Drosophila melanogaster: one gene and its partners. The protein of the gene in region 1 interacts with the protein of each later gene in a pairwise test. Each region holds a gene or a part of one and is shown in the gene's direction. Other genes may lie near its edges. The genes, in order: Cp15, cpb, scb and CG13671.

Region 1 (5,102 bases):
GTGATGGATGTTCAGATCCGTCAATCTTGGCTTGAGGTTTCAGCCGACTTACATTTGCATTGTATTGCGAATAATGTTACTATTTAATATTTATCGTGTCGTCGTTGGCGCTAGTTCCAGTTTCCAGTCTTATAATATTTTTACTTAATTCCTAAGAGCAAAGCAACTAGCTTAAATCCCAATAAAGCAATCTTGAAGAGAAAATGCATACGGAGAAAGATCGTTTTCACTCGTCTTCTGGCTACTGGATGCTGGTACCCTGAGCCTGGCCAACATCTAAATAATTTATTATTCATTATTAAATGTTTGCGCCCGCCCATAAGCCATTCACAATTTGTGTAGCGCCAATTGAATGTTATAAAAAGCTTAGTGCGGCAGTTTGGAAAGTGGAACGGTTGTGTTTATAATTTTATTGTAATTTTATCTCAATTTTTTTTGCTTTTGTATATAAATTCTACCAACGCAGCAGAATTTTCAGGCCACTGCCTTGACTTCACTGTGTCACTGAAAAATCGGTGTCAAGCTCTCGGCACCGTGGGGCAAAGCAACTGCAATACTGATCGAAACTATGCGGATCCGGAGCACGAAGAGTCATGCGGTCGGAATCTTACGTAATGGGTCTCGTCTCTGGTAGACGATGGCGTAAGCACAGACGCCTGCTATCTGGACCGGCCCGAATTGAGAGCCAGCATTTTGGCCAGTGCGGATTCGGCCTGGCTGCACGTCTCCGGCGGCGTCTCAAGATTGCTGGACAAAGAGGCGAGGCCTGGAACTGCGTCTGCGGGAACCCGGAGAGCCGAAACTTGCATCATATTCGTCACGTAAGAGTTGGGCCTCTGCCTGGATCTGGTATAAAAACAAAACATTGCGCCAGAATAAGACATTAGTTACCTTCGCATCGATCAACTAACCAACTCAGCCTCAGAATGATGAAGTTCATGGTAAGCCTTAAGTTCCAATATTGTTTCTATTGACACCTCAACTGAGTCCAGTATGATCCTTTCAATAAAATATAACTACATATTATAATAATTGGATAATATGATTGGATCTTTCTTTTCTAATACACTTCAGTCTAAACCCAAATTAATTGAATTTTTTCTTGAATCCCTTAGTGCATCTGCCTCTGCGCCATCTCTGCCGTTTCGGCCAACTCCTACGGACGTTCCCGTGGTGGATACGGTGGTGCCCCAGTCGGTGGCTATGCCTACCAGGTGCAGCCTGCCCTGACCGTTAAGGCGATCGTTCCCTCATACGGTGGTGGATACGGCGGAAACCATGGAGGATATGGCGGTGCCTACGAGTCGGTGCCTGTGCCCGTGTCCTCTGCCTACAGCGGTGCCAATGTGGGATCTCAGTACTCCGGTTCCGGCTACGGCGGTGCCCCACCAGTTGATGCCCAGGCCATTGCCCTCGCCAAGCTCGCCCTGGCCGCTCCCAGCGCTGGAGCTCCTCTGGTCTGGAAGGAGGCTCCCCGCTACGCCCAGCCCGTCTATCCCCCCACCAGCTACGTGAACCAGGAGTACGGACACAGCGAGAAGGTGAAGGGAGGCTCCGCAGCCGCTGCTGCCAGCTCCGTGGCCGCCGGAAAGAAGGGCTACAAGAGGCCCAGCTACTAAGTGGCAAAACGTTGAACAGTGAACCAAAAACTTACCTGCCCATAAGGAACTAGGTCATAATAATAAAAGCCAAAACATCAAGACTTAAAATTTTGAGTACTGTATTCTTGCTGGGTTTTTAGTTTCGGGCCGAGAATTGAGATCTGCATATCTTAGCTGAATTGGCATAGACTTGCGGTTCATTGCAATGCCAAGCGATACTTTGAGCCAGCAAAAATTTCGTGGTTTCGTAGTTAAATGAAAATGCTGCTTAAAGTGCTAAAGAATAATTCTCATGGCGAATGAAGCTGAAAAGCTAAAACTAAATTCATTTGTGGGGCCACTTTAAAACTATAGTTCGTCAAATAAGCCTTGACTTTTTTAAGTTACCATAAGTAAAGAACCTATTAGATAAAATGAGATTAGATAGAATATAGTTTTGCTTGAAATTATGTTTTTGTAAAATTTCAAAATGATTGAAATACTTTAAAATGTTTTAGTTATAATTTTAAGTTTTGTATGTGACTAGTGGTCACTTTAAAGGGATGATTCTATATAGGTTTTATCAGAAAAACCGGCTGGAACCAGTTCTAGAAGAATCCTCACTTAGACAAGCCAAGTTCCGGACACAACCGACCTGGAAACCATTACCCCCGAGAATGTGGATAATATAAAGTTCAATTCAACAAATTTTGGACTGTATTCGAAAATAAACGCGTTCGTGGTTCCCATTTGGAAGAGTCGCGTGTTCGTAGTGCTATCACTACCCAACACCCGGTAGAATAGCACATCGCGTAACCAAGCGATTTTATAATGGCTTGACAACAAGTACATAAATCAAATGTGAGTATATTCCAGCCGGGCAATTATGAAATGCCATTTCTGGGCTGAAACAGAACAATTAGTGTATATAGGTCACGTAAATGTCCAGGCTAAAATTTGCGTATAAAAGCGAGCGTTTCTGGTCGGTAAATCATAGTTTGATTGATTACCCCAAACCAACAAAACTAAGCACTCACCATGAAGTACCTGGTAAGTTGTGGTAGTCCCCGTGAAGGAGTGGCAGCCAACTGATCCTCCGGATTTCCCCTTTTCACCTTCAGATTGTCTGCGTTACCCTGGCCCTTTTCGCCTACATCAACGCCAGCCCAGCGTACGGCAACCGTGGAGGTTATGGTGGTGGCTACGGTGGTGGCTACGGTCCTGTTCAGCGCGTCGTCTACGAGGAGGTGCCCGCCTACGGACCATCCCGTGGCTACAACAGCTATCCCCGCAGCCTGCGATCGGAGGGTAATGGAGGAAGTGCCGCTGCCGCTGCCGCCGCTTCCGCCGCTGCCGTGAATCCCGGAACCTACAAGCAGTACGCCATTCCCTCCTACGAGTTGGATGGCGCTCGCGGCTACGAGATCGGACACGGCTACGGCCAACGTGCTTACTAATTCTCGCTTCATCGGCAGTGAATTGAACTATCGACTCCTTGCTAAAATCCTCGAGTGGCTGTCATGGCGAAACTCTGAGAATCAGTGAATAAAAGCAGCTTGAACGCAATGGAAAATACCGAAAAGAAATACGTATTGTGTGTTTTGCATTGTGACATACTTTTCAGCGCATTCGGGTTAAGATTTAGCGGTGGGTCATTATTATTATTCCACACACAAGATGGGTTTCAAAGTGGGGCAGCTAGAATATTCACTGCGGCAGATTGTACAATACTATATAGAAGTACTATTGCACTTTAAGCTACAAAGTCGACAGGTTAAGCTTCAGTGACTCAAGAATTTAGTCACCTATGAAACCCTTAGTTTCACTAATAGATTCTTAGACGAACATCTTAAATTGTATAATCAAACAAAGGGCTATATATATTACAATAACATATTTGCCAATGTGCATAAAGGCATAGACTCTGAAGTTATGTTTTATCGTTAAAATTTGGTTTGTTCTGTTTACTTGAAGGTATAGATAATATTATAAAATCCATATCCAATAACCATTGGTCAGTCGTTGGCCCGTTATCCCATTAACCCGCTTGCGTTCCCGCACGCACCCAAATGCAACCATTGATTTTGGGCCTCAGTTGGGAGCATCTGCATCTGCCACCCCCAACGAAGGTCAACCGGCGAATGGAGGCGATACGATACGCTGCGGTGAGCAACCTGCTCGAGCCGAAACGAGCTCAACGTGGAGCCCCGATATCTGGCTAGGAAAAGCTAGAAATCCACAGAAAGTTCCCCAACAAACTGGCCGAGAAGAGACGACGAAGCCAGCTCTTGAGCCGTGATAAATTTCTGGGCGAGATCACGTTTCGAGTGCAACAATAAATTTGCTTATATAAAGAAGTGTGCTTGGCCATTTAATATGTTAATTCAGCCAACTGTGCCAAAACCCATACATCATAGCCATGAACAAGTTCGCTGTAAGTGTCCCTGAGAACCGCTTCCGTATTCCCTGCCGCTCTTTCATTTTCCGGACTTATGCTAACTGAAAGTTTTCCTGATTTTCCAGACTCTGGCAGTCATCTTCTGCGCCTGCATCGTGGGCAGCTGCTACGCCAACTACGGTGGCCAGCAGAGCTACGGACAGCGATCTTACGGTCAGGATAGCTCCGCCGCCTCCGCCGCCAGCTCAGCAGCTGCTGCTGGAGCCGAGGGTCAGCAGCGTTATGAGCGCCCCGTGGAGATCATCGCCGGCGGTTACCGCGGCAGCTATGCCCCCGAGATCCTGCGTCCCATCCAGGTCAGCGGTGGATATGGCGGTGAGCGACGTGGCTACAACGGTGGCAACTACCGTCGTGCCGGCTACGGACCCCGTTGGACTGTCCAGCCCGCCGGTGCCACCCTCCTGTACCCCGGCCAGAACAACTACAAGGCTTACGTCTCGCCCCCGGAGTACAGCAAGGTGATCCTGCCCATCCGCCCTGCTGCTCCAGTGGCCAAGCTTTTCGTCCCAGAGAACCAGTATGGCAACCAGTACGTTAGCCAGTACTCTGCACCCCGCAGCAGCGGCTACTAAGCGCATACTTGATTATCCCCAGCCAACCTGGCGGATACTTGATCTCAGCCTGATCGTGTACATAATAAACAACAAGAAAAAATCATAATCATATTTGGAATATATATTTTTCGGGGCTTTTAGGTATTTTTTTGTATATCTATGAGAAAACAAATTTTCGGGTCTTTCGAGCTCAAATGCAGCTGCAGCAGCTGTTCAGAGCGGGTGGAGCATTGTTCATTTGATTGCAGTCGCCACCGGGAATGTCTTTGAGTGGCTCGGCGGAAACGTGCTCCGGATTTGCTTGCTCCGGTTCGCTCGCAAATCACTCAGCAAGCCATAAACAGTCAATTATTTATTGTGTCAGTCAGTCAATAATCTTGAGGCCAGAAAGCGCCACAGTTCGCCGTGTTTGCCGATTGCCGCGCTCATTTTCATATTTTCTGTATTCTGGCTGGTAAGCAATCGCATCTGCTGACTTGTTTGGGGCCAAACTCTTGGCCAAGAGCTTCA
Region 2 (6,395 bases), on another chromosome or scaffold:
TGCGAAATTTGAAGATGAAGCTAGTTGTATGTACGCCATGGTATATATGGCATATGGTGTATACTCCATATATAGAAGAGCATTCCCCCCACGTCTCCCCCTGCGCCCCTCAGTGTGTAAATCAAGTTGTTGTAAATTTGTCTAACACGATGGATCGAAGGAAGTACAAATTATATTTAATGTGTGTATTTTGATTGTTTTATTTGAACTCACGCTTTGGTTTTCCCATTCAAATTGCGTTCGTATTGCGTATAAGTCACACTTGAAAACTACAAAAACTTTTGGAACAATGACGAGTACAAAATTTCAGGAAAAACAAACGAAATTTAGCAGATAAATTAAAATTAATTAAATATATATAGAGGCGAGGTAACGATAAAGAGGAAATCGTACAAATTTTTCGGCATAAATATAAAGTTAAAATTTTAAGCAAGGCTGTCGGTCAAAAAAAAAAACGAACAGTTGGTGTGACTTTTTAGGATTGAAGTTAAGTTTCCACACAGATTACGCCCCTTTGATTTCCTTTATTTGGACCAATTATTTTTGAAACCAGAATGAATGCAACAGAACTTGAGTTACACATGAACTATTCGATTTACTTTGTTCTGAACTGAAAAGTTTTCGAATTACCCAAACGAAATTTTAACCACTTGAATTCAAAAAAGACGACAACGGTCCACTTGCGAGGGAATTTCGGAATGAGAAGTACTTTACGTGCATAAGGTTAAACGAAAAACAAAAAAAAAAATAGTTTTAAAAAAACGCAAATCCGTTTGGAGCAAACTCAGGGCATTATCAAGACTCACGACGATGTATACATGCATTTAATACAAACAAAAAAAAAAAATAAATAATGAGAAGAAAAACAGAAACTTTTTCGATATGTATTACGATAAAAAAAAAAAAAATTATGAAAGCAACCGCAAAACGGATGTAATAATCATGCGAAACGATTATGAACAACTCAGGTATTAAATATTAAATGAAATATTTTTAAAAACTTATAACGAATCGAGCGGGCAGTCGGTCAGAAGTCAGAATCAGCATTTTCACAAGTTGTGCAATATTCTTAAAGTTTTCTAAATACGTAATAGTATTAATAATCTAATATGCGATCATGGCAAGGATCAGTGAGTTGAGATGTTCATAAGCATGGGATCCGAAAGGTTGAAGATCGAGGATCGATGATTGAAGATTGAGGATTGAGAGAAGGTTAGGTGAGTTTTTGAAGCACATGAGGACTAGGCGTGTAGTAAACCAGCCCTAAGAATTTTTAGTTTTACCACCCACACAAGTCAAGAAGAACAAGCCACAACAAACACACTCACAGAAACACACACACACACATACTCGACGCGAAATGCGAAAATAGTGAAATAAATAGCTAAATGAAAATGAGTTTATATAAAGAAGGAAAACATAAAACTGTGATTACATTTGATTGTCGAAGAAGCGTTGATAAGCAAGTGTTGCATAATTATTGAGCGAAAGAAAAACGATGAAACGAGAAATACGATTGAAAATGGAGTTATGTACTATTATTGAATCTGAAACCGCTTTTGATTTCGAATATTGGCACAGTGTCTAGCATGCGACAGAGCATAAGTAAATAAATCAATATTAATTAGCCGAAATATTAAACTTCAAAAGAACGACTAAGAAATACAAATTATAATTATCTAAGTTATTCGAGATTAGTGAAACCTGCCCTAATTTTACAAGTCACCTGTAACAGTTTTTATCCTGGCTAAAAATCCAGAGCTGCGAAAAAAAATCCCTCGATTTAGTTCACATTTCTCTGAACGATTTCTGTATGTAGTGCACCTTAGTTAAAAATTAAAGTCTGAGATTTTACATTTATCGTATATGGTCGAAGTATACACCTAAAGAGCGCACTTGAAGCGCGAGTCTAAGCCCAAAGCGGTTAATTAAGTTTATTGAACCTACTACTACTAACGAGGCAAAATCCCACACGCTACGTATTTGGCTAAAATTAATGTAAAAATCAAGAAATCCAAGGATCGATTCAGAAGGATACGTTTTCGGAGCACGCATATGATTTCTAAATAAGTATGTATGTATGTCTGAAGAGTGCGAAAGCGAAGCAGCTTAAATATATTTTAAACACGAACTCGGATAAAAATTTACGATTATGCCATACATTTTTGTGTAACATATTAAAAACTACGAGTAAGCTAAACCCACAGTCACACACAAACCAAACGCATTGTAACAGAAACTCACAAAACACGGAGAGGAAATGGGCAACCAGAATGGAATTAAGCATAAAAGTATATGAACGAAAACTAAATTCAATAAACTTGTTGCTAAAATATAATAAAAGTAAGACCATGGTTTTATTTCGGGCGGATTGAGTGCCAGAGTTTATTTTTATAAAGTGTACTGCAAATTATTGCCTTTTGTAAGTAAGTAACTGCCATTCGTTATGTTAATTTTCAAATATTTCCGCTAGATAGTTAGCGGGTAAGAAATCGATATACCAAATCGAGCGAGCAATCGATGCTCCACCAAAATGAACGATATCGCATAATAATCGGGCTGTGTTCCAGCTCTAGCACACCATAGCAAAAATAAAAAATCCTAATAATAAGGAAAAAGAGTCAATTTAGTGCAATCACTTGCAATATAAGCCCGAAATCCTAGCTAGAGTTTAAGATCGGCCCTGCTCAGCGAACGCAGGCCCCTAACATAAACAGTGTAAAACTATCGAAACAAGGGAAAGCAGAAAGTACCAAAATGGTGAGTAATACTACAATAGTAACAAGAAAAAAAAGCAGGCCAACAAACGGTGTTTTTGGTCGGAACCGCCCATTCTGCAAGCCAAATATTCTTGGCAATCACCTAATCCACCGAGAAAACCTCCAGAGGGGCGGCGGCCTGTGGCCTCAAATAATGCCCATATATGGTAATCCCTGGTTTGCCGGGTGGCAGTGGAAAGCGGAGGGATTTTTTGGGCTCTCTTATCGGCGGTGGTGCAGTGACTCAAATTCAATTTCACTGGTGTCTCTTCTCCTCTCTTCTCAGTCGGAAATGCAGATGGACTGTGCTTTGGATCTGATGCGGAGGCTGCCGCCCCAGCAGATCGAGAAGAACCTTATTGATCTGATAGACTTGGCACCGGATCTCTGCGAGGACTTGCTCTCCTCCGTGGACCAGCCGCTGAAGATCGCCAAGGACAAGGAGCACGGCAAGGACTATCTGCTGTGCGACTATAACCGGGATGGGGACTCCTACAGATCGCCCTGGTCGAACTCCTACTATCCGCCGCTGGAGGATGGCCAAATGCCCTCGGAACGACTGCGCAAACTGGAAATCGAGGCGAACTATGCCTTCGATCAGTACAGGGAGATGTACTACGAGGGAGGCGTCTCCTCCGTCTACCTATGGGATCTGGATCACGGGTTTGCCGCCGTTATACTGATCAAAAAGGCGGGAGATGGCAGCAAGATGATCCGCGGCTGCTGGGACTCCATCCATGTGGTCGAGGTACAGGAGAAGACCACCGGCAGGACGGCCCACTACAAGCTCACCTCCACGGCAATGCTCTGGCTGCAGACCAACAAACAGGGTTCGGGAACCATGAATCTGGGCGGATCCCTCACCCGGCAGCAGGAGCAGGACGCCAACGTCAGCGAGTCGTCGCCGCACATCGCCAACATTGGCAAGATGGTCGAGGAGATGGAGAACAAGATCAGGAACACCCTGAACGAGATCTACTTTGGCAAGACCAAGGACATCGTGAACGGACTAAGGAGCACACAATCACTGGCCGATCAGCGCCAGCAGGCGGCCATGAAGCAGGACCTCGCAGCGGCAATCCTGCGACGCAATGTCAAGCCCGAATCGAACTGAGTACTGAGCGGCTGAAGGCTGAATTTCCACATAAACCAATCCAGTCCAGGGGCGTCCCACAAGCTGGCTGCTCCCAAGAAGAGCGCAGCAATATTCGAATTGCAAGGCACTGTTGTCACCACTAAATATTGTCATAAATATAAATAATTTTCATAATATTTCGGCTGCACCCACCCAATTCGCTGTTACTCGCCCAATTGTGTTGAGCAGCTCCGTGGAGGACTCCGCTTGGACTGGACTAAAGAGCTGACTAAAAAATATTAAATACGCATTTCTAGGCAGTAAATTTGTTACATGAGAAAATTGTTACACCACGAGAAGCACATTAATGTAAATTTTGCCCGCCCGTTTCAACTGTCCTCCCACATTGTTGCCGTTTGGAGTCGCGCTTCATCCAGAGTTCAGCCGAAAATGCCAACTTCGCCGCCCTCAAGACAGTATCCATAAGTATTTGTATCTTATTTGTAATAATGCATATTTGCACCGAAGTCGAGGCACTTGCGTTTCGTTCTTAATCCTTCCGCGAATAAATATTGTGTTTATTAATTGTAACTTTGTGTTTGTGTGTAATCTAACAGTAAGGCGCTCGAAGCAAAATATTAACTGAAATCGCTTTGTGATTGTATTATCTGAGGAAATGCACATTACCTTTCTTCTTTACTTAATATTTTTTAACTGAAATTTGGAAGGCAAGAGAAATTTTATACAAAGAAACTAATAAATATTGAATTACAACTAGAAGTGGTTTCATTGGGGGAAAACATCATATTATCGCAAAAGATAAGATATATAAAATAAACTACTACACATCACTCCATCGATGTATACCATATTCTACTTTTAGTCACGACATATCATATCATAAGCTAGTTAGATAAGGACTAAAGAAAAACATGGCGAGTTTGGTTCATGGCTACCTTTAAGATACGTTTGCATTTATTTATGAAAATCGGAGACCGTTTGATTAAAAATATGTAATTAAATACCTTGAGGTGTGTGACGCAAACGATTGTGTGCTTACTTAGACAATTACTTTTAATCTTTGCATAGTCGCGTTTTATCATAGTTATTACAGAATATACTCGTAGATTTATATAGATCGTTTCGTCTTGTGTTACCAGCTATATACATACAATGAGGCGACCACCAACAGCTCACTCATACACCTTTGCGAGTGTAGTTAGGGGCAGCAGCACAAGAATTCAAGTCGAAGTTTTTAAATTAAGTTCTCGGATCGTCGCATAGGTATCTACAACTTAGGCTAGGTATTATGAATAAGTTAGGTTTATTTAGAGGGGGGGAGGACGTGCGCGTAGAAGGAACTACGATTACATACATTATTTTACACGGGCTCAGAAGGCGTGGCCGGACAGACGGTTCTCGAAATTGGAAGATCAGTGTCAGCGCAGCGCAGCAATAAGGGGTTTTCCTCCTCAATGGCGGATAGAACTAAAAAATACATAGCTGCTGGCGGGAGACACGGTTGCGTGAAAATGTGCAAAAATATGCGTAAAAAGTCTCTTCGGTCCAGCGAAAGTCACAGCTTATTGCATTTTCGACACCTCGAACTTGGTGTTGATGATTTCCTCATCGGAGTCCAGGATGGGCAACGCCGAGTCCGCCATCGAAGACGGTATGTTCTCCTCCACCCAGCGCAGGTCGTCTTCCTCGGTGGTCGTGGCATTTCGTGAAGTCGTCGACGTTTTCGGCGTTCCATTCTGGCCGCGCATTTTCACGCCGTAGGCATCCGCGACGAACTGATCCTCCTCGTCTGCCAAAAGTTAAGGAGTCAATTAGTCCTTGTTTGCAGCAGAAGTTCGGGTTCTAACTTACCCTCATCGTCTTCGTCTTCCGGGTTATCCAGCAGCGGAGTGAAGGCATAGCGCTGGTTGTTATTCGTCGGTCGCCATAGAATCATAATCACCAGCAGCAGAACCGAAAACAAAATGTGCCAAAAGCCAGTATCCACCCAAATGTCGCGCCAGCCCTAAAAAAAAAACACGAAATCAGCAAACCCCTGTTCGCAGCTCCATTCATGCTAATCAACAACTTACAGGCGTGCAATTCTCGACCCTACGCAAACGCAAAGCAAACAGCATGAATATGACGGAAGCGATAACAGCGAAGATCAGCGTGTTGGTGAAGTGCCTGTACAGTGAGAGCTTGACCATATTCCTGGAAAAGGTACACATTGTTAGCGCATGTGTTGAGATTTCATCATTGGCATTAGTCACCTCCTCAGTCGGAGAGTGCGAGTTGTCTGCACGAGCGAGGTGAATATCCACCAGCATATTCCTGTGTCCAGCACCGCCAGTGGAATGCTCGCCACCAGCAGCTCGCTGCGATCGGTCTTCACATTGGTGATACGCAAGTAGCTCTCCACGCAGGCCAGCACAAAGTAGAGGGTTCCCACGCCCACCACGCGATGCAGCATGGGTCCCAAACGGGGTCTGGAATAGATTGAGTAAATTAACGCTTAAGTGGTTCGGTCAATAGCAGCAACTGCTTTAGAGTAAGCTATA
Region 3 (6,755 bases), on another chromosome or scaffold:
AAGGAGCATTTAACAGATAGTCTGATTGTTTTATGACGACAACGTGCCGGGCGCAGCGAACGAGTGCCAATGGCGACACTAAAGATGACAATTACAATTGCCGATCTTGCGGATCGGAATGGCTCATTTGGAGTGATATTGTGGGATTCGAAATACGAGATTGCCTTTCGGCTGGCCCTGAGCCAAAAACAAAGGAACCCCATCAAAACGGTTCAATTACATGCCATAGGGTAGCATCCAGTTGCTGAAGTGCACGCAAATATCTCACATTACACACTTGACATATATTTCGGTAGGGCATACGAGAAGAAATGGAGATAGAGTTCGTGTTTGAGATACAAGTACATTTCCAACCGGAAGGAAAGCAGAATGATATTGCTTTATGACTCTATCGAAAGCGAAAGTGTTTCACTGCTGTCTTTTTTCGCACGAAAGCCTGAATTATGTGGGCGTCGTCTGCCACTCAATCGGCCTCCGATATTTAGGCCAGCAGATCAATTACGGACTGGTATTTTTATGACACCTATTCAACCTGTCGCCGGCGCTCGAAATTTTGAAAGGGTTGGCTGGTCATTAGTTTTACGACTGTCTCTTATAATAATTTCTGCGCTTCTCTCGAAGGATCTATTTCCATAGCCACTAATGTGCAATAAGTTCATTCTCTGCCTCTGCCTGGAAATAATATTTTTACTGAGCTCAAACAAACCCCTCTACCATTATATATGTATATAAATTGGTGACGTCATAGGAAGGTGAACACCTGCATTGATTCACGGACGTGTTTAGTTTTTTTTTACACTTCCTTTTGACATTTATGCCTGCCCAGAAAGTCCAAATAAGGCGCCGCTTTGCGCCTCAAGCTCACGTCGACGATTCGATAAATATCCATTAGCACTTAGAGAAAAACTGGACATTTTACCACTTAAGAAATCGACATATAATATAATAGGTGCAATACAGAATTTTTAGAATAACAAAAACTCAAATTATGACTAGCTATACTTTGAGTATGAACCAACACTTTTTTTTTAGTGCAGTTTGCACCGGCACCGCTGTTGTTGCTGACTTGTGACTCCGATTCAACCATTATATACACAACTCGCTGATAAGTGTCCGCCGCTAACAATAGTCACAAACTTCCGCCAAGTGTAACGACAGATTGCAACTGGGAGTTCTATACGGATCCATTTCAAGGGCAGCTCCCCCATTTGATGCACATCGTAGCTCCGGAACATTTCAATTTGCACCCTGTTTCGTGCTTTTGTTGCCGCTACTGGTTGCATCTGGAGACTGGGATGTGCGCCAGAAATAGCTGCCCCCGATAGCGGAGGATGGGGGGTCATGAACTTCAATTATGTGCCTGGCAGTGTGGCGTGGCACCTCCCCCTTCTGCAGTTGCGGCCGTGTTGCTGCTGCTGTTGCAGCAATCGCTGTTGTTGCTGCTGGCGTGCAGTAACACATAATTGCTGTCAAATCGCCTGGCGGGCGCTTAATTGCGCATTTCAATAGCGGCCTGGTCCAAAAAAACACTTGCTATGCGGCGTTGGAAAACCGAATTAGCCGCCCTTTTGAACTTCTTTTGTTTACCCGAATGAATCGCTGGCAAACATTCAACTTTCGAACTTTTAAAGAGAATTTTATTTATGAATCGTATTGGGAGCATTCGACTTGTGAATTGAGTTTTATGGCGCGTAATCGGCTGTTGTAGTTTCGCTTATCGGTGGAAACGACTTGCCAGACCTCAGACCCCACTTTTGTTTTATTAGTTTTTATTGTTTTACATTGACTTGATAAACGGCGGGCTCAGGCTGCGTTGAAAATGAAAATCAATTACTGGGCGCACAAACAGCCAGCGATCTAAGCGCGGTTTTCCAACTTATCAGCTTGAGGCAACCGATAGCTGGAGGAAAAGTCAACTAGAGTACACCCCTGTCGATCTAATTGAACCCCTGAACCACTGAACCCCCCGTGCTGGGCACAATTTCATGTCACCGGATCGTAAAGTTAATAAATTGTGGTCACCACCACCCAACCTACCCCAATGATAAACGTTGAACGGATAAGGCAGCACGAGGGGCATATACTACTTTATACTTACAATAAATATTTGCCCTGGGGCCCGCTGATAAGCCATTTGATCACCATGCCACGGCAGCCAAGTTCAATGACAGCAGTACGCCGTTCAATTCGGGTGGCCATTTGCCTGGGAATCGTGATCGGCATCCTTTATGTCCGCCATATGCTCTCCGTTTCCACTGGCACTCATCCACATCCCGAAAAGGAATCACTCGGAGAAAATATTTTAAAATACGAATGTAGATTATTTAAAAGTAGAACTAAATAAAGAATAAACATTACTTATCTTTTAAGTATAATACATAAGAAATAAATTAGGAATAAGTGCAATAACTACGAACTAACAAGTACATTTCCATAAAAACAATTTCCTTTCTCTCAGTGTGCAGATCTTGATGAGCCTTAAAACATTGTAAATATTAATTATAACCAAATCTACCAGATGATGAGGAACAAATAAGCTGGCCTGTTTCCATATATATAAAGTCGGGATTCCTTCAATGAGTATTAATAAGAAAATACGGCTCCCAGTTGGAACTCCATGGTGACAGGCGTTTGCTTTTTTACCCACTTACTTGTACTCTCGCACTTGGGTGTGCGTTTATTTGTGTGTGTGCGTTCGTTTGTGTGTGTGCGAGGGTGCAGCAAACGCGTAGGGGGAGTGTAAATGCAAGTAGCGTGCGAACAAGGAGAGCCACCACCACAAATGGTCGCAATCGAATTGAGAATGCACTGACAAAAACCGGTACTAGATATACCATAGTATTGTTAAACAAAATCAAGTGTAGGTATAAAATATAAAGCACTAATAGACTATATATAGATAGTTCTTATAACAATATATTAGATACTAAAAAAATATATTTGAAAACCTTAAAGTTTTATTGTTATTATCAATGATCATCAGAAATCTCAGCGCAACCATGTTTGTAAACACACACTACAGCAGGTCAGAACATCTCTTTCGACCATCGTGTTGGGTGGACACATCGGCCAGCAGAATCGACGGTCGTCCAAGTCTGCTGCAGCACTTGAATTCATTTCATTTCGGTTCGGGTCGTCGAAGAGTGAAAACGTCCAGCACTGATCTGTTGCCCCGTTTATGGACTAGCGTTGCGGAAATAAAACACCATATATGCTATAGGCTATATGCTATATGCTATTTATTAGCTATTAGCTACACATCAGTGCAGAGATACGGCGCGGTCGAGTAGTGCGATTAACAACGACTTGTCGCCGGCAAAAGTGACAAGAGCCAAAACAAGTTTGCCACCTAGATCTCGCGAGAGATTTGCGAAAGCCGCCGGCTGGGCTTAATTAAATTAATATAATTTCGAGAGAACGCCGCCGCCATACAGCAGCGATCTCGAGTGTGTGAGTGCTTCAATTAAATTCAATAAATCATAAATAAGTGAGTGCCAACGGATCCTGTTTCAGTGGTGTGGCTCTCTGGCGCAATTGTGATTTATTGCCCTCAGAAGAGCCGGGGTCCATTCAAGTGAAATTACCAAAATTACGAAATTACGAATGCGAAAACTTAATTTTGATGAGTTCCAATGAATGCTGAATCGACAATGTTCCCTCACATATTCCTCGCCCTCTTGGCTCTGATCTCTCACATCGAAGCATTCAATTTTATGCCGCGACCCAGTCGGGTGATAAACTCCCCGAAGCATCTGAAGTTCCACATAAACCAGACTCGCAGCTCCTACTTTGGATACACGCTTGTCATCCGCCAGACCAGGTGAGTTACCTATTTTCCAGCTGTAGATCGCGGCAAATATTTGCATACATACGTGTAAGGGTCTGGAGGGAGATTCTTCCATACTTCGAAAACATACTTATTTCGATAACCGATCAACATATTTCTTATGTTTGACGCAAGACAAGCGAGTGCTTTCAGTTGCAAGCCAACACACCTCTGTCAATATTTTGAAACTTCTGGCATACGGAAATGGAAACTGAAGCTTGCGAAAGGGGATCGACAGAAGTCGAGGCTCGACAAAATTAGTATCGGCTTGGGTGGTTTATTGGCACTTAACACTCGGTCGCTCTATTTGCCAAGAAATTAAAATGTCATTTTCGCCAAGTCGTAAATGGGTGCTCAGCATAGGTTGTTCGAGTTTTGGGACAGAACTCTCATGGCATGTCGAAAACCCCAGCTTGAAAACCTCTCGAAAGCAATACCACTTCAGACCGAATTTTCTAAAAATAACAAAAAAAAAAAGAAACTGTCTACTTCAACTACAATTGCCACAGATCCGAGAGATCGCAACTCCGTCTCGAACAATTGACAAACCCGAACAATTTTCAGTGAGTCGGGCGACCTACATATCATATGGCGGCTACTTTTGTTGGTTTGCGGGCCCCAAAAAATGACATCACACACCTCAGTCGGCGCCACAAATCACAGTTAATTGAATAAGAAGAAAGTGGTCAGATCGAAGCTCAGATACGCTTTTTAAGATATTCTCGAGATATCTACTCTGTATTCTCTCTTAAACGAAAAAGAGAGATGATAGTTCATGCTTTGTAATTTATGTTAGAGTAGTTGAGGTTATGTATTTGCCAAAATTCAGGCCACAGCTTAGATACAAGAACTACTTGGTCAGTACAACCTTATCTGGTTTTAATTGAGGCGATCAGTAAACCTGGTTTGAATGCAGTACTCGTACGCGATCATAACGAGCTAGCTTTTGACCATATTTTATTTCCATAAACCTGGATGGGTAATTTGGAACTTCCTCTACAGTTCCCGCTCTTCCCCCCCCCCCTACATTTTTTTGTATTACCAGCACTTTGGATCCCAAAATACCCATGACTCTTGGCTATTACGAAGTGCGCCTAATTATGTACGGAAATTGCGCGTAAAATCACGACAAGCCGTAATTTATATCACATCAATTGAAGTTAGCTGAAACAAACAAAAAGTGTAGTTCTTGTTTACGGTCTCCCAATGAAATTAGGGCTGAATTCGAATCCAATGCGGGGGAAGTGCATCCACTCACAGTTTCCCAACACCACTTGCATTCTGGCGAAATGAGTCACAAATGTTTCCAATCCGATTTGGAGGCGATGGCGTCTGCAGACCTGCCCCCATCCGCATCCCCGCCCTCCGAAGAGTTCGTCCGTTCAGCTGACACCACACACAAATATTTTTAGCCGTCTTACGCTGGGTCATTAAACCGAATTCCTTATAACAAAAACAAAAAAAAAACACTGAAGACTCCACAACGGAAAACGGTGCAGCATGGTGGCTTTTGTTCTTAACATTTGATGACCGCACGCTGCAGCGGTTCTTTGTTTTTGTTTGGCTGATGGAGATGGCGCTGGAGATTTGTGTGGTCCGCAAGATGTTTTATTGTCCGCGCACAAAAACGGATAAACGTTCCTTGTTCGGCATTTAAACAAAGCGCCATCGCACCAAAAGCGTACTTTTACAAACGAAATTATACTATTTAAAAGAAATTTCACATTTCAATTATGTTAGCATGCTGTTGTATGCCATACAACTATTTTTTAGAAGACAATTTGCAAAGATATATAAAGTTGCAATATATTTTAAAATACTTTAAGTTAGTTTATTTTTTTAATAACTAATAGGTTATAATTGTAAGGTGACTGTTTTGTGAAACAGATGGTGAAAAAAATATAGTTCTTCAAAAAGTCATTCAAATCTTCCTAAAATAAATTAAGTTAACAGTTGTAATACAATTTATTAAGTTTCTGTTTAATTTCTGCTCACACTGAATTGACCACCGCTGTAGTTATGCACAAAGGCCATGGAAAAAGTTGGGGCTTGGGGGCAGATGCGTGTGCAGACATGGTTTACTTGGCCATGACTCATGTTTTGGGAAAATACGTAAGCGACAACCCATACTTTGTATTACAGCTGAGATACGCCGAACGTTCAGTCCAAAACAAATGTTGGCTGACTGTTTTTAGGCCTCACACCACTTTATATTCAGCATAAACAATTTCTGGATCAGGTAGCCAAAGTGGCATGTGCTTGTTATTCGCCTATTTAAATATGTTGACTCTTTTTTTGAGACTGTCGTTTTTTTTTTCTCGCATGCAATTAAGCTCCAACCATTTGACTCGCGCCGAGATGCGGATAAAGTTACGCCTGAAATCAGGCCGGGAAATAAGTGCATGCATGGTGACTCATCCGACTGACTAAGCCACCGACTCGAACGGGGGAAAACTTGTATAGATAAGTAAATCAAAAAGTCAATCGAGGTGAAACTAAGGCTAGAGAATTATGAAATGTATTATGTATTCGTATTTTGCCAATAACAAAGGTGTCATCCATAGTTTACTTTTACTGACTGTTTTAACAAAGAAATCAATACATTTTTTGAACTGTCTAATCTCAAATTGAACCTCATATCCTGTGAAGTGGGTTTGAAATGAGTCAGTCAATGCAGCTGATTAAAAACGATTGTTTGCTTCACATTATATGTGCAATCTTACTGGCGTTTTCATAAAAAAATGCAGTAAGTTAGTTTCCTTGGTTTGAATTATTATTCGAAGTTTCGATAAAAAATGAAATCAGTTAAATTTAAAAAGTGCAAAGGTTGCAGTGTTAGAGCTGGAAAAATAAATTCTTTTACAGTTAAGACTTATCTTACATTTTCCGCTCCATCTTGTCCTATTAGTCAGCTTTTGCTGCTTAAGAA
Region 4 (6,681 bases), 430 kb from region 1:
TAATGAACTTTAATTTAACAATTCTAAAAAAGTAGAGTATGTGTAACTTGAACGAAATACAACGTAGCCATCCAAATATAGTGCAAATTAAATAAATCGTAATATTTTAAATCAGTAAAACATTTGAAAATACGCTTTCGATTTTATTTGGTGATGAGAAAACCTAACGGTCGATGTCACATGTAAAATGGAATATCGATATATGAGCTTCGCAGTATATATAGCAAGCTAAACAGAATAATATAAACTAAAATTAGTACATATAAATTAGTCAAATAAAAACCTGTAAGTAAAAGTATAGTATTATTTTACCCCTATATCGATAGGTCAACTATCGACTGCCAACAGCTGATATTGCGTATCAATAAAATTAGTTTTGCTTCACTTTGTTGTCATTGGAAAAGCAGGGCAGCAGGCAAAAGAGACCAGTTAACGGCCAGAACGGCGGCCAAAAGATGACCGCCCGCAATCCTCAGACACTGATGGCACTGCCAAACGAGGAACACTTCGACTTCCTGTTCAAGATCGTCCTCATTGGTGACTGCGGGACGGGGAAGACCTGCATAGTGGACAGATTTAAGACAGGGAACTACATAGAGCGACATGGGAACACCATCGGAGTGGACTTTTCGATGAAGACCATCGCCGTGGAGGGCAAACAAATCAAGGTGCATAACGGATTTGCCCAGATCCCGCCACTAATATGACTCATATTCTGCCCCTCTTCCAGCTACAAATCTGGGACACTGCTGGTCAGGAGAGGTTTCGCACTATTACGCAGAGCTATTATCGCTCGGCCAACGGGGTCTTAATTGGTGAGTCCCAGTATGGGTATCTTTTGTTTCGTCGGGCATAGGCATACGCCCATCCATTTGTCATGCCAAATAGGTACTACTGATAACCAGAGAACGCTTTAAAGTGATTGCCTGGCACTGATTTGAATAGCGAAGCGCCTTATCAGCGGGGTGTTTGTTTACCCTACTTGAATACCATGTGTTTCCTCCTGACAGTTTACGACATCACCAAGCGGTCTTCCTTTTCCAATCTGCAAAAATGGATCGAAGAAGTGCGTAGATACACTGCTTCTAATGTTTTGATAATCCTCGTGGGCAACAAGTGCGATTTGGAGGAGCAGCGCGAGGTGGACTTTGAAGAGGCGCGCCAGATGTGTCAATATATACCTGAGATCCTGTTCGTGATGGAGACCTCCGCCAAGGAGAACATGAACGTGGAGGACGCCTTCCGCTGCCTGGCCAACGAACTTAAAGTACGATTCCGGCTATTGTTACCTAAGCTAATGATGTTCCAATTACAGCGCCAACACGATGCCAACAATGTGGAGGAGGTGCCAGAAAACACCATCACCTTGGGCCAGGGAAAGCCTTTAAAGAGTTGCAGCAGCTCATGCAATCTCACCTAGACCTAAATCCGCTCTTTAGTTTGCTTTTACTTTTGTGATCAAATTGTTCTTGTGGCTATATATTAGTATTCTAATGCTTTAACCTAATCCTAGACACTAACTTTTACACAACCATGTATTTATTTTTGACGATAGAGTACAAACAATCTCACACATCAGCGAATCGAGCCAACAATGTCAATTACAAGGCAATGCTCAGAGAGGCAAATACGTCCACTTCTCTATTTGTAATTTGTATTCAATTTGATATGCGACAGTGTCGAAATAAACTCGTTTATTTTGTAATTTTATTGGAAGTATCGTAGTTAAATTGGCTTAGCTCCTAGACATTATCCATATACACGTAGATTTAAATCATCGAGGGACTCCTGTTCGGACGTATTTTACACTAAATAAAATTGGCTTGGCAACAACTTTTCAAACAATTTGGAAACGCTTAAAAATTGTTTATATCAAAATTGGTTTACTTTCTCTAGACAGCTAGTCGTTAATGATTAATTAGCTAATATGTAGCATGTGTGGCGGGTCATTTGTTCTTGATGCGCTGCACGATCCACTCTAATCCTTGATAGAGTCCTTCGCCGGTGAGCGCACAGCAGGCCTGGATGTGCCATTGGTGCTTCTTGATGGAGGTGAGGTCCAGTTGTCGTGAGATTTCCGCCGCCGACATAGAGCCCTTGAGATCCTGCTTATTGGCATAGACCAGCAAACTGGCCTTGCTCAGATCCTCATGTTGCAGCATCCGGTAGAGCTCTTCCCGCGTAACAGCTAACCGTTCCCGGTCCGTGGAGTCGATGACCATGATCACCAGCTCTGTGTTCGTGTAGTAGGTGCTCCAAGCGGCGCGCAGACTCTGCTGACCACCAAGATCCCAGACAAGAAAGTGTATATTCCGCCAGACGACCTCCTCCACGTTGGAACCGATCGTGGGACTTGTGTGGACCACTTCGTTCATCAGGAACTGGTACAGGATGGTGGTTTTGCCCGCGTTGTCCAGACCCACCATCACCAGCTTGTGCTCCTCGTTGCCAAACATCCGCCAGAGCCGCGATAATAACAGTCCCATATTTGAACCTTATTTTTAGCTATATACGTATATAATCAATTGTTGATTATGCTGCAGCTGCTGTTATTGTTGTTGCTGCTTCCACCGATTAGAGATTTGATTTCGAACGATGACGGCGATTGCCTCACACACAGGTTATCGGCTGGCCTGCGTGTGTATGCGTGGTAGACCCGTGTGTGTGGGTGTAAGTGAACGCTGAGCTTTGTTGTTGTTTCCGCAGGGGAAGGCGAAGGCCGTACGGTAAATTATTCACTGATTTAACTATTCAGCTATTCACTCCACACTCTCACACCCTAATTACTGTTGTTGTTTTCGCCAAATGGGAATTTTTTTGGGGGGATTGGTGAGCGATTTTCAGGTGGTTTGCCTTTGGGTGGTTTCCATTCGTTTCGTTGCAGCGGGAAACGCTACTTCGTTTACGCGTCGCAGTGGGTTTAGAACAGCCGTTGTTGATAATTTAATTAACAGAGTTTTAATTAAGAAAGTAAACAGCAGAAGTGATTAATTAATATCACTTGGAATCGATAGTGCTGCTATCGATAACTGCGGGCAGTGTGGGGAAGAAAGTAAAGCTTAATGAGACCGTAACCATTTAGTGCTTAACAACGTTTCTTTTGCATTTCCAAAACAAGTTATTTTTGAATATTGAACCTATTTAAAGAATTATTTTCAAATTTAAAATTTAGATTTAGTCATTACTTATAAATTATTATTATTAACAACACTACCGACGTTACCAGTGTGGCCATCCTCGCGGCAAACATCTGTTCACGGCGGTTGCTGTTGTGTTGTTCTTAACATCTAATTAGCTTCCCACCGGTTGCAATGAAAATAATTTTGAGCCTGCTGCTCCTGGCTCTCTCTATCGCTCAGTTGGACGCCTCAAGGTCAGCCACATCCGACCAGGCTCCCATTGTCGAGTGTCCCGGACGCAGTGTTCCCCAGCTCCGTGCGGAAGCGTCAGAGTCAGAGATCTCGCTGCTATTTTACTACGTGTCCTGGGCCAGCGAAGCACGGCAGGCACGACTGGTCTACAATGGACTGGCCCACTATTACCAGGAGTATGGCTTCTTTGGAGCCATCGATTGCTGGCACTTGCAGTGCAATTGCAGCCGTACTTTGATGCCGGCACCAGGAGTCGCCGGCGCAGGAGGTTATCCTGACAAATGGCCCACGCTGATCGTGCGCTACGGCCAAAAGCAGTTACTCCAGTACCAGGGCTCGTGGAGCTTTGAAGATCTCGCCCGGTTCATGAATAACCTGCTTCAGCCACTGGACCGGGCACACAGTAGTCAGGATCTCGCCGCCATTCGGAAGCACTCGGATGCGGTGGTTTTGGGTCTGCTTGACTCGCCAGACGACAAGGCCTACAATCTTTACTTGGCTGCCGGTCTGCGCTGGCTGGAACTGGATCCGGAGAGGAATATCCGCTTCACCGTGTACTTTGGCAACAGTGCCAGGAAGATGTTGAAGTCCTCGGAGGCCAAGCTGCCCCAGTTTGTAGTTATCGACAGCCGAAATGGAGTTCATACGTTTAATGGTACATCTGGAGTATGGAAGACCATCGACATTCTGCGCTGGGTACGGAGCACACTCAAAAATATGTCGCTGTTCTCCAATGGCTATGGCACTCCTATGACCATCGCCATGAAGGCACGACATGTCCCCGTGCTGGCTATGGGAGTTCGAATGAACCAATATCACCATGCTAGCGTCATGGGCGAGGAGATGGCTTACGCTCAAAAAAAGCAGTCGGAGGGGTGCGAAGACTACTGGAAAAAATTCGATAAACAATCTGAAGACATATCCTCCTCCCTAAATCAAGTTCCCAAGGAGCTGTTTGGGGATGGTGAACAAACCCGGACATGTTACCCGGCCTGGAGTAAAAACAAGACCACACTTAAGAACTATTATCGGATTAATAGGTATCTAAACCACCTATGGAGGCAGTACTCGCACCAGAACCATCCGAGTTATCGAAACGTCCCCCACTTGCTGCGGCTTCACTCCAGAAACCTTTGCCTGGCACACTCACAGCATGGAACGCCGGCCATAAAAATCGGCATTGCCAAAATGGTAACCAAATATGGCCAGCTCATTTGGCAGCACTCGACGGAGCGCGCAGCCCACAATCGGTCGCTGGGCGTGGTGATCTTCGATTCTGTGAAATATAGAGACTATCTACACCAGCTTGGCATTCAGCAAACCCATCAGCAGGTGCAGGTTTTCATCTTGGATGCGGCTGAAGAGTCACTGTATGTTATGCCACAGCAACACACATTCTCCTACGTAGCTCTTAAAGATTTTATACGGCAGTTTTACGCCAGAACATTGCCAAGGACTCACAAAAATGCTCTTGCCATGATGGAATCTGGGTTCAGTAGAAAATACAATAGACAGATGCTGTTGCAGGCAATCCAGCGACCAAATGTCACCAATGTGGTATTTATGCATCGTCCTGACTGCGCTCTGTCAGCCGTTCTATCCCAAGCATTTCTGCAGGTTTCGGCGCTGCTCGGCAGCCCCGAGGTGCACTTTGTACGCTTCGATAGCCAGGCTAATGATCTGCCCTGGGAGTTGGCCATGCCAACCACGCCGTCTCTAATTGTCTTCCCCCAGGCAAAGAGCGCGGAATCCGTGGTTTTCCCAACCGATGTGCGGATTGATGTGCAAAACGTTTTTGCATTTGTGATCGCCCAATTGGAGCCGGAGCAGCAGGTGCGTTCGGTCTTGACCAGCTGCAGGCGGCGGATGCGTAACGTTAGGAGCTGTCTTGACTTTGCCCGCAACCTGGTACTCCAGCACGTTAACCAATATCTCAAATTCTGGGATATCTATGAACGGGAGCGGGACGACATCCTTTCGCACCTAAGGGAGTTCAACAACTTGCACATGTCCATCGAAAGCAGCATTCGATTATAGCGAAATCCCCCTGAAATATAACTTTAGTTAAAAGTTACCGTTGATATTTCCTGTAGATCGTAAGGCTAAAGTTGTCTCTTCATAAGATATTTAACACTCATAGTTGTATAAATATACATACATATAAACAAAGGGTAAATCAATTTTTTTTCGTAGCTTTATTTTTAAACAAAGTTCAGGGACAATGTAAACAATCAAATGTGCGGCCGAAATGACTTTTGATTCAACTTCTTTTTTCTTCCACTAAAGTTCTGTTACTCAGCAAGATATGTGCTTATTCAGCCTCGGATATAATCGAATATTTGTTCTGCGCCCTTGTGAATGAGCCAAATGTGTGCATGTACGCTTTTTCCTTTCTGCAAATGGCATGAAAAAGGCTCGGTATTGTTTTGAAATTAAATTCTTCTTAATTTGGAATATTGAATAGTTGGGCCACATGATGGTAGCTACCACCGCATGTCTGAGCAATACAAAGCTTTCTTAGCAGAGTGCTTGCGTTTTCTAGACATATCTTGATTTCATTTTGATTCATACGATTGAATACATTATGATCCTTAGCCAAAAAGAACTCCAGTCTACGAGCGCGTAGATGATCCACCAAATGACTCCACATCTCAACCAATAGGGTGCCCAGGTCTCTTTCCCAGTCAGCACTTTCGAGGCGATGAAGCAAAACTGTTTTCAACATGTAGCTGGACAAGTGAGGCAATTTCCTGGCGTGGGCATCCCGCAATCCTTTCATCAGCCGTAGAACGTTCTTCAAATTATCCTTGCCCTTCATAATTTCGCGCTCCCAATGTGGTGCACAAACCATGAATGTGGTTCTCGGTTTAGCCGACTTCTTCTTCTGTTGCGGAATGGCGAACCATGGCCAATTATTGCTAACATCAGCAGGAACCGGGCAAATATCAAACGGCCATTGGCTTCCAGAGAATTCGAATGCTGGTACCAAATCAAAAGATATCGAGCGACTACCACAAACGGCTAAAATGGTATGGGCACAACCATACCCCTCAAGAGTATAGGTTAATTTGTAGACTCGATTACTGGTAGTGGCAATTGTCTGATTAGACCTGAATACCTTGCGGAATGCATTGCGTAGCCAGTCTTGAAGTACAATACGATGGATGCGTTGGGGATTGATTACGGTGAGATCAGCCTCTAAATAAATAAACCCTTGGTCGATCCGAGTCGGTCGGATATCAAATGGAAACTTTAGTTTCATGTGCAGATCAAATTCATCGGGCAAATTTAGCTTGACGCGATCCAAGTA

The links.
Region 2: the proteins of Cp15 (region 1) and cpb interact in a two-hybrid assay, tested with the Drosophila melanogaster proteins (one large-scale study listed by BioGRID).
Region 3: the proteins of Cp15 (region 1) and scb interact in a two-hybrid assay, tested with the Drosophila melanogaster proteins (one large-scale study listed by BioGRID).
Region 4: the proteins of Cp15 (region 1) and CG13671 interact in a two-hybrid assay, tested with the Drosophila melanogaster proteins (one large-scale study listed by BioGRID).

What each region holds. Positions count from the first base shown.
Region 1 is NT_037436.4:8,725,909-8,731,010, forward strand, and holds Cp15 (chorion protein 15), read left to right. Parts: upstream 1-2,572; 5' UTR 2,573-2,618; coding exon 2,619-2,630; intron 2,631-2,701; coding exon 2,702-3,037; 3' UTR 3,038-3,158; downstream 3,159-5,102. Other genes in the region: Cp18 (chorion protein 18), read left to right, coding at 927-941, 1,116-1,619; Cp19 (chorion protein 19), read left to right, coding at 4,000-4,014, 4,104-4,610. UniProt on the Drosophila melanogaster protein: Chorion membrane (egg shell) protein; plays a role in protecting the egg from the environment.
Region 2 is NT_033779.5:1,702,355-1,708,749, forward strand, and holds cpb (capping protein beta), read left to right. Parts: upstream 1-2,547; 5' UTR 2,548-2,757; coding exon 2,758-2,760; intron 2,761-2,776; exon of another isoform or gene 2,777-2,923; coding exon of another isoform or gene 2,924-2,926; intron 2,927-3,045; coding exon 3,046-3,873; 3' UTR 3,874-4,423; downstream 4,424-6,395. Other genes in the region: CG17660 (uncharacterized protein), read right to left, coding at 5,418-5,644, 5,707-5,860, 5,928-6,048, 6,108-6,323. UniProt on the Drosophila melanogaster protein: F-actin-capping proteins bind in a Ca(2+)-independent manner to the fast growing ends of actin filaments (barbed end) thereby blocking the exchange of subunits at these ends.
Region 3 is NT_033778.4:15,245,664-15,252,418, forward strand, and holds the start of scb (scab), read left to right. Parts: upstream 1-3,120; 5' UTR 3,121-3,632; coding exon 3,633-3,820; intron 3,821-6,755. UniProt on the Drosophila melanogaster protein: Integrin alpha-PS3/beta-PS is a receptor for laminin. Also binds to wb. Important during embryogenesis for the development of the trachea, dorsal vessel and salivary gland, as well as for dorsal closure. Required for short-term memory processes.
Region 4 is NT_037436.4:8,296,805-8,303,485, forward strand, and holds CG13671 (uncharacterized protein), read left to right. Parts: upstream 1-3,259; 5' UTR 3,260-3,311; coding exon 3,312-5,408; 3' UTR 5,409-5,537; downstream 5,538-6,681. Other genes in the region: Rab19, read left to right, coding at 456-668, 731-815, 1,011-1,267, 1,316-1,420; Arl5 (ADP-ribosylation factor-like 5), read right to left, coding at 1,947-2,486; CG7194 (uncharacterized protein), read right to left, coding at 5,815-6,681.